Nothobranchius furzeri: one gene and its partner. The protein of the gene in region 1 interacts with the protein of each later gene in a biochemical or structural test. Links are inferred from orthologs where the notes say so. Each region holds a gene or a part of one and is shown on either strand. Other genes may lie near its edges.

Region 1 (4,788 bases):
TGCAAAAAACGGTTATGTGTCATTATCCAAATATCAGCATCTTTGACTTCAGATTGTTCAGAGTTGTGAAAATGATCATGTGGAAGGACTTGAATGTAAAGTTTGCAGCTTTCATGTGTTTTTATATTTTCATATGAAGCTTGACTTTAAGGTGAATCTGTACTTGAACACGTTTTTACTAAACCAGCCCAGCTGCATTTATCCGTTACTAAAGCAACAACAAATCAGTCATTTTACGCGTGTTTGTTGTGAAGCGAACCACACACCACTCGCTGCTTTCAGCACACAAATATGTTTAATATTTAATCCACAGATAAAGAGATCAATGCACAGATTTCTATACTGAACCGGGAGGATGCATCTTGACATTTACAGTTTTTATCCCTGTACATAAATAACATGCCAGCGCTCGCCTGCATCACACCCCTCTGTGTGAATATGAACATGATCCGACCTTTGACCTGCATCAGGAAGCTGGAGATGTTTCACCCTGGTGGTTTTAAACAAAACGTTTTAGTCAAAACAAACCAGATTATCAGACTTTCACTCATCTGTTACCTTTACGAGATAAATAGAAGTCAGCGGGTGAAACCAGACTCTTGGCCGACATTCACACTTTTACTTGTTTTTGGGGAATCTGATGGGATCTGGAAGAGGAGGTGACGTTTTTACAGATAAACTCAAGGAGCAGCTGTTGCAGGACAGCCGAGGGAGAGGACGGGGATGGATGTAGGGAGGTAGATAATGAGGTTTATGGTGATGGTTACAGCTTCCTGTGTGACGGACACAGGGTGTCAGGCAGATAACTAGATCAGAGGAGATGGAGGGACAGGAGGAGGTTTATTAGTTACAGGAACAATGCAAAGCTCAGAGGGTAGTTTTACAGCCAGAGGGGAACTTTTACATGATGGGGGGGAATTGCAAGGTTTGGATGGCTGGAAGCTTCCAAGACAAACTCCGGTGTCACTCTGGGACATAAGACACCTGCCAGACGATGATGTGGCTCCGCTCAGCCTTGCTCAAAGCAGGTTTCATCTGTGAAGCCCCACTGTTGTCTCCGTCCTCCGTCTCATCGTCCTCTCCGTCACCTGTGGAGGACGAACCAATCCAACTCAACAGCTAGTCAGGCTAGAATTATTTAAAAAAAAAGGATGAAAAATACTTGTGATTAGTTTCTTTCACTCTTTTATTCCATTTGTTGGGAAACCAGAATTTTATTTATTAATTTAAAAAAATGTTTTTTTGACATTTTAGGGTTGCACCGTGCCTCTAGTGCCACCTGGAAACAAAAGGAACTACAATTCTAGTTACATTTGAATCAAAGTCATTCAAATTTGAAATTTTATTTTGTGGTATTTATAATTTTACATTCATATTTTAACAGATCCACGAAGCTTTTTACGCAAATGTTTGGAAAAGATCTAAAGGTGGAATCTGGCAGGAAAACACACAAAAACTTCTAATTTCTCCTGAAAACACATCCTTTCTTTGCTTTAAACTCCCAGTTAGATGAGCTGTTGTAGGGTTTCTTTATTTTTACCACCTTAGAAAAGCAACCGTACCAATTCAGTTCATTTTTAAACTAAGACAGACAGAATATGAATAAATTATATTGGAAAACATTAGCTAATATTTAAATTTTTTCTTTTATTAATTGGGTGTTCTGATAGCAGTGTGTGTGTGTGTTTACCTATGCGGAAATCGATGTAGCCCTCGCCCCCGCTCAACACCAACACGTTGTGAACACTCTGCTCCTCCGTCTCTGTTGGTGCCGTGGAGCTCTGCCCTTCTGACGGGCTGTCCAGAACACTGCCGTTCAAGGTGGCCAGAACGTTGCCTGTCATAAAATACAGCCCAAAACTTTGCATTAATTGTTAAAATAACAATCTAAAAACATCACATTAATTTTCGCAGGTACAACCCCAATCATAGGCCCATTTAATCTGAACCAAATAATCTAAACGTTTTAAAGAGCAAGTCACCCCCTGCCAGAGTCTTACTCCACTCCCACTTCCTGTTTGAAAAATGCAAAAAATGCTGTTGCCTGGCAAGACTACACACACATGATATTGTGACCTCATAATGTAACAGCTGACATCATAGTGTACTTCTTAGCCTATAGCAATGGCAGATTAAATTTAAATGCAATGCAGAGTTTTTACCTGAAAACTGTGCAACAATGACAGTTTTAGGCAGAATATTTAAATGTTAACTAAGATGCACTTAAGTGCCAAATGATTGCATGTGTCTACAGCTTGGTTAGACACTCATTTATATAGTTAATCAGCAAAAAAGAAGTGGATTTGGGGGTGACTTGCTCTTTAAATATAAGCTTGGGTCTGAAACAGCAGGAGCTCTAAACCTAATCTCGGCGTTTACTGACCCGGTACGGAGACAAAGAACTTAACAGCATCACGGTGTCCATGGAAACACAGCTGGGCTTGTGCCATGGAGCAGTAGGGAATGAAGCTGCCGCTGCTCTTCTCTGATCCGTCATCACTGTAGACGTGGATCACGCCTCCGGAGGACGTGGGAGACACCTTATTGGCTGGAGCAGAGGGACGAGAGACGACGAGAACGTTCACAAGCAAATCATAAACATAACAGAAACCATAAACAACACATATACTAACTTCTACATTGCACGTAACGTTTTATTAAAGTCACAATAACTGATGACATGCATCTAAAAAGTCAAACATCTCTCTGACAAAACAATAAACACGGAATACTTTTATTTTCAGGAAATTAATCAGAGAAGGAAGAACTGAAAGATGAAAATTCAAAAATAAAACAGTCTCAAGAGATTGGACGGTTTGGCCGGGGGAGACGAGGGGAGGTCCCACTTACCCCTCAAACCCAGGAGCTGTCCCCGATGAAGGACCACCGCTTTAGGAGAAGGAAGACGAGGAGGAGGTGGAGAAAGAGGACAGTGACAGTAATAATTAGGATTGGGAGAACAAGCTGCTACTACTGAACAAAGGAAGGAAACAGAAAGTGGGAAAAGCTGAGGGGAGCTGAAGAGGTCTCCGTGTGGACACTGGACACGCTGATGTTTTTTATGGATGTCCGAAGACTCAACTTAAACCAATCAGAAAATGTAATATTATAATATATTAATTAATATTATTAGCTATGTGCATGGAAGTCATAGTTTATAATTTAATAACAGAATACCAGGTAATTTTAATACAGTGAAAAATAAACACAAACAATCATACTCTCATGGATTCTGTTTCATAAAAATATATGAATATGCTTTTTATCAGCTTTTGTTTGTATTTCAATAAAGTTCTCGTCACGGGTTTAGCAACTTTTTCCTTTTTTCATGCTGTATTTTATTTTGAAACCTCTAAAATGACTTAACTATGTACTAAACCCCACCCCTTATGTGCTCATTGTGCAGAGTATTTATGTCTTGGTCTATTTAAATGTTTTAAAGGAACTTTACGGAGTTTAGAATTTTTATGCTCGCGATTGCCCCCTCAGGCCAAAAGCGTAACGACAGCTTCAATAGGAGGCTCGTGCACGAGGCGCGCATGCCGTACGTGCACACTCCTTAACGAAAATAGCAGCTGAGACAGTCCCGTGTGTGTGTGTGTGTGTCCCGGAGGACAGAGGACAGGAGAACATGCAGCTAATTAATTAAATAATTTGGTTCTGTACCTTTCTCTTCAGCACAGCCGACAAAGGTTTATGATGGGTCAGTCCTCCTGCATGCTCAGATCATTCCCTTCCCTTGCTTAAAAAATTGTTCCAAAATGAAAGTTGGACCCACATCTTTTTTTATCTGTGAATTCAATGCCGTTCGGCGAGTCTCAAATAAAAATTTGGGCATCTTACTGTAAAAAAATATACCATTAATGTAAAAAAGAAACTCTAAAATAACTATGTTCACATTCAGAACTGAACCCGGGACTTCTGCACAAAAGCCCCAAATCTTACCAGGCGAGCTAAACCATCTGTAACATTTATATTCTTGATGACAGCTGAAACAACGTTCAACGAATGGTTCGGAGGGCTATGCCTGAGCGTGAACGCGCATGAAGCAGCCTGCTCGACCCGAGCAGCTCTCTTTTTCTGTGATTTTACAGAAAAACAGGCAATCACAGTAAAATGCCAGGGCTCATTCTACCGGACCAGGGCATTGCAGGAGAATGTATGAAGAAGAAATTTATTATTTCTATACATGTTTTGGCTGTCAAACTTCCATAATGCCCCTTTAATGATGATCCTACGGAAAGCCACAGACAGAAATGTGTTTTATAGCAAATATTTTTTTCCAACAACATGGAAATGTAAAAAAAAAAAAAACCTCCTTTGAACTTGAATTATATTTTTATAATGCATGAGTTTTCCAGGAGCTGTTAATAATCAGACAAGTTCATCGCAGATTGTTCTGAGTAAAGGCAGAACTATATTTATATAATCCTGCTTTGATTAATCTCTTGATAAAAAAAGTTCGATTTCATATTCTGCTGCGTAACTCCACTCACTTTCTGTCAGCGGGATGGAGATGATCACACCGTTTCCGGTTCCCACCCAGAGACGATTTCCACCAATCAGGAGGGCCGTGATCCGAACAAAAGAGAATCCCAGCTTACCAGTACCTGAGGTTTACAATCAGAGTCAGCGAAGTGTAACGACAGCTAAACCAGTAAAGATTTTTCAAGTCCCCGTAAAAATCAGCTGGTTACACAAACTGACCCAGCATCTTGCTGACATATGGCTCGATGTCAACGTCCTGGAGGTGCTGGTGTGTGTGCGCGTGGTACAGTCGCAGTGTTG
Region 2 (4,785 bases), on another chromosome or scaffold:
GTCTTGAACCTAACTTAAAAAAGGAGAATGACACAGAGTAACACAAGTGTTGTCAGTGTTGCTGATGCAGTGGCACACCAGTTCTGACTCATGCACCATGCTCTCTGCTTCTTTGCTGCAGTGAAATACTGCTGTCTGCAGCTCCTGCAGTGCGTCTGGCATGCTCAGCATCAGACGCCACACACCAGCCCATCTCCTTAATTACTGGAGGTTGCAGAAACGGAGAAAAAAATGGAGAATGCCAATTTGAACAAAACAGACATTAGGAGAAGCACAGAGATGACAAACTTCTTGCTTTTTTGTGTTAAATTAACCATTTTATTGTTGTTTAATATGTAATTTTTTGGTTATAAATCCAGGCTAATGAGTTCAGCCCTGCTCATGAGACATTATTGGCAGTTGGTTGGTTGGTTGGTTGGTTGGTTGGTTAGTTAGTTAGTTAGTTAGTTAGTTAGTTAGTTGTTAGTTAGTTTTTAAAGATGAGATTAATATCAGTGTCACTGTCAGATGCACATTTTATCTGCAGCGGTGTTTTCTTTTCAAATCTGCTTTTGACTCAAACAGCAAACCCAAAATCTGGAATCTGGTTGTTGTTGCTGTTGTTTTTTACTTTTTACTGCCACCCTGTGGTGAACTAGGAGAACAGCACTTTCCCTACAGTGGGAAAACTTCATCTGCACCTTCAGACAAAACCACGAGACCCAAACCTTAAGTTATGACGCATGTTAAACGCACAAACAAATATACACACAACATTTCTTCTCATTTCCTGTGGCAGAAAGCAGTTTAGCAGACATAAATGTACTTCTTACGGTTTTAAAATACAAATACAGCAAAACGACACCACTGAACTTAACAACACTTAACATTGGATGCAAGAGACAAGAGACACATGGTCAACAGCACAATGGTAATCTCTATTTACAAGGGAAAACTCCATTAAGTTTATATTAAATTCACTTACAGAGCGATTAGGCTTATGCACTGAGAGTACCTGAAGGTGAAGGTTGTCCCTTCACAACGCCATTCTTCGTTCTCTCCTCAAAGTTCATCACTTCTTTATAAATTAGCTCTGGCAAGGCAAACAGAGAGGAAATGTCAGTGAAGCACAACAAACATAATCAGTAGAAGTAGACATGCAAACATGAGATAGGAGGGGAAACGGCGGCTTTAGTACCTTTCCACTCATCAATAGAGTGTTCTCGCTCATCCAGCTGTTTGTCGTAGATCTGGGGTGGAGGCTAAAGTTAAGAGAGAATAATTTATTTAAAACCTATTTAGATAGCATCAGATGCCCTGAAATCAAAAGATGAGGTCACATAGAATATTTATGATTTTAGACATCAGGTTTTGTCATGCTTCAGAACTATGTCATTAGGAATAGAAAGCACATCTGAACATCAGTAGGCTAAAATAATAAGCCACACTTTATTAAAAACCTACAAAAAGCAAAACATAATTTTACTTGTTATATGTTTTAACAGTTGCATGGTTGTTCATGGAGTTTTAAACAGTTTTAACTCCAGTAAAAAAAACAATTACTTGATTTGAACATTAAATGTGATGAGGGTAATTATGTCCATCTCTCTCACACACACACACACACAGACACACACACATGTGCACACACACAGACATACACACATGTGCACACACAAAGAAGGTTAGTGGAACAATGAGGAAAAATTTGCCCAAAAGAAAGAGCAAATTCGACCGAAGTATGGAAAAGATGAGTTTTCCTGTGTGAACATCAACAAAGTGTTTTGTTTCCATGGTGTTCATTTTTCTTTAAGTTTATTTATTCTTTGAGCTCCTGCAGAGACAGTGCTGTACCTACAACAATGTTCATAAAGACAATAAGGCACATTGCTCCATTGTCTCATATCAATTTCTGTAAAGTTGCTCAAGAAAGATATCTTTATCTCAATTAATTTAGTCTGCACTGACACAACATCTGAAAACATTAGCCAGAGTTCACATTTTAAAGAGGCTGCAGACATCAGTTTACATCAGCAGGTGGCAGAGTGGAACTGTTTTGTTGTGTTTCAAAACACTTTCATCATACAAGGATTTGCTGTAAAATGCCCAACATCAGGCTTTTTGAGAAAAAGAAATAAATCAAATAAATGATCTTGTAACATTCCTGTAGCTTAAAGCTCGACTAATTAACCAGCGGGTCCCTTTTTGTTCTTCACAGGAGGGTTTGTTCTCTTTATTATTACTCTTGCGTGGACATTAATGCGGCTCAAACGGCAGCGCGCACCCCCACAAATTATACATCGAAATGAGCGGATTGGCTGTGGGAGGTGTGCTATTACTTTTCTAAGTGTTTCGATTCACAATGGTGAAATTATTAGCTAAAAACAGTGAATTTTTTGCATTTTGATGTTGTGCCACTCTAAAATAGCATAAAATGTGAATATTAGCAATTAAACATGCACATAATTGATTAATTAGATGGCAGGCCCTCTAAAGTGGCATTTTTACATATGCATGAACAATATCATGATTTTTATTTTTATTTTTACCTTAATGTCACCCAAATATCATGATTTTGGGGTGGTCACCCTGACAATCTTTTTTGGCCTCTTTAGCACATGGCCACTATCTTGTGCCAGCAGGCAGGTCCCTTTTTAAAATTGATTCAGGAATTTTCTAGTAAAATTTATCATTCTATTTAAAATATTTATGAACAATGTAGGGAGACAGTGGTGCTGTTCAAGCAGAGGAGAGCTGCTACAGGAGCTCAGAGTGTGTTTTTCAGGTCTTAAATATAAATAGCAGTTTGTTGTTTTGTATACTTGGGCTTGGTTCACATGGCAGGATTTAAAAATTGCCAAGAATTTTTAAAACATGAGACTCCACATGTGGCGATAAATAATAATGACATGCCAGTTCTGGTCCTACAGTGTGTGGTGTAAAGCTCACAGAATCTCTGAAAATCAAAGTTACTTTGAAGTAAACCAACATGGCCAAGAAATATTCTCTGTGCTTCCTTCAAATCACTTTCTGATTGGTTACACATCATAATCAACATACAGCATGCTTGTTTGTCTTTAATATTGGACCATGACCATCCAACATCTTGAGACTGGAGCTGCCCTGACATGCTTCTGAGGGGACTAGAGCACTCTTAACACATCACACACAGCAGACATATCTGAAAAGTTTCTCTTTGGAGCCGTTACATAATTGGGCTTGCCATTATGACTGTCAGGAGGGAAAGATCAGACCATACAGCAACATAATTATCTTGACCAGTGTCAAGGACTCAGGACTTGTAAGTTTAGGGGCAAAAATTATTAAAAGCATCTGTAAGAGCATGCTTGCAATGGATAATGTGAAAAAAAACAGTACTTACTACAATACAGTACTAGTTTTTACAGTATATGCTTTTGTTGATTACCTTGTTTTTATAGAAATGCCAATCTGATTAATTGCACAGCCCTCGTATAAAATACATTAAATATTATGTTATATTGCATTGTATTATAATGTATTGCATTATATTGGATTGTTTCATATGAATTGGAAAACTATTTCCCTGGCTCCAACTTTTTAAAATTACTGTTTTGTTTAAATTCAGCCAAAGGTAACTGGAAAAAAAGGCTTAATTTGGTGCATAATTAGTTCCCCAGAACAAAGATTAAATACGTAAATATTTTTTATGGAGCACCTACAAAACCAATATTTACATTCCCATTGTTCAAGTATCTCTGACAGACACAACATGATGTGTTAATATGAAAATTGTACAAAAATAAAAATAAATAAGAATAAACATTAAGTACATTTATATTTATCACATGAAATGAACACTGATTTCCATTAAATTCTGCGTGAATATAAGTTACATCAGATCTTTAAAATCAGGATTAAACAACAGAAGGAAGAAGATAAGATCATATCTGATGTGTTGTTTTGCTTCAGTCCCACGTGATTACTACTTCACTTACCAGGACACAGCTACACTGTCTCACTGACTTATCGTGATTCTGGCTCAATCACCATACGCTTTTTCTCTCACCACAACCACAGGCTTCTGATGAACAGTTGGAGATCATTTCTCTCTGAACATGGATTTATCTAAATAATTTCTTTAAAATATCAATACAAGTCGGCCCTTAGAATAAGGCCTTTTCCTCTGGAATCACTCAACATTTTAAAGGTGTGGTTCACTCTGATTGCTTTGTAAGTCATAGTCTAGGGGAAAAAAGCAATAGTGCGCCTGTTTCAGGAACTAGAAGTGAGCCACATCAGGCCTGAGCTTCGGACTGCAGGATTTGGAATCTTTTTTTCTGGATATTTGGACATCTCTCTTCTGATTGGCTAACAGCAACATGACTCTGCCAATAGGGAGCCTAAGTCATGCCCATCTACTTCCAGACCATGGGTCCCCGGAAGAACGAAATGAATGCAAGTCAGTGGGGCTAAGAATGCTATTTTCTAATTCTGCTTGTTTTGTGCCATGGATTTCACATACAGTATGATGTTCGTGAATTCAGCAGACACATTTTGTTACCAAGAACGTGCTTATTTTCTAACGGGAGGGGGGGACGCTATTTTAGGTTTTGTGTGAAATGAAGTCCAGACCTACAAATGCACTTCATGAAAGTGATGTCATCAAACCAGACACGGAGAAAACGGAGGGAAAAAGGCTATAAGTTCTGCAAACTTCCCACAGATGGAAAGCACCACCATAAATCTGGTAATTTGGTAAGTAGCAGCTATGTTAGGAGAGAGGAGATTATGTGGTGACGTCACATGTTCAACATGCAATTTCTG

Evidence for each region. The genes of interacting proteins can lie anywhere in the genome.
Region 2: the proteins of mapk8ip3 (region 1) and mapk10 form a complex in vitro, tested with the Homo sapiens proteins (3 studies listed by BioGRID, with this or other methods). The link is inferred for Nothobranchius furzeri from reciprocal best matches to the Homo sapiens genes MAPK8IP3 and MAPK10.

What each region holds. Positions count from the first base shown.
Region 1 is NC_091752.1:51,054,995-51,059,782, forward strand, and holds the end of mapk8ip3 (C-Jun-amino-terminal kinase-interacting protein 3), read right to left. Parts: coding exon 4,708-4,788; intron 4,611-4,707; coding exon 4,497-4,610; intron 2,919-4,496; exon of another isoform or gene 2,890-2,918; coding exon 2,851-2,889; exon of another isoform or gene 2,745-2,850; intron 2,549-2,744; coding exon 2,384-2,548; intron 1,838-2,383; coding exon 1,691-1,837; intron 1,089-1,690; coding exon 964-1,088; 3' UTR 822-963; downstream 1-821.
Region 2 is NC_091746.1:59,120,002-59,124,786, forward strand, and holds part of mapk10 (mitogen-activated protein kinase 10), read right to left. Parts: intron 1,242-4,785; coding exon 1,178-1,241; intron 1,073-1,177; coding exon 995-1,072; coding exon of another isoform or gene 978-994; exon of another isoform or gene 965-977; intron 1-964. UniProt on the Homo sapiens protein: Serine/threonine-protein kinase involved in various processes such as neuronal proliferation, differentiation, migration and programmed cell death.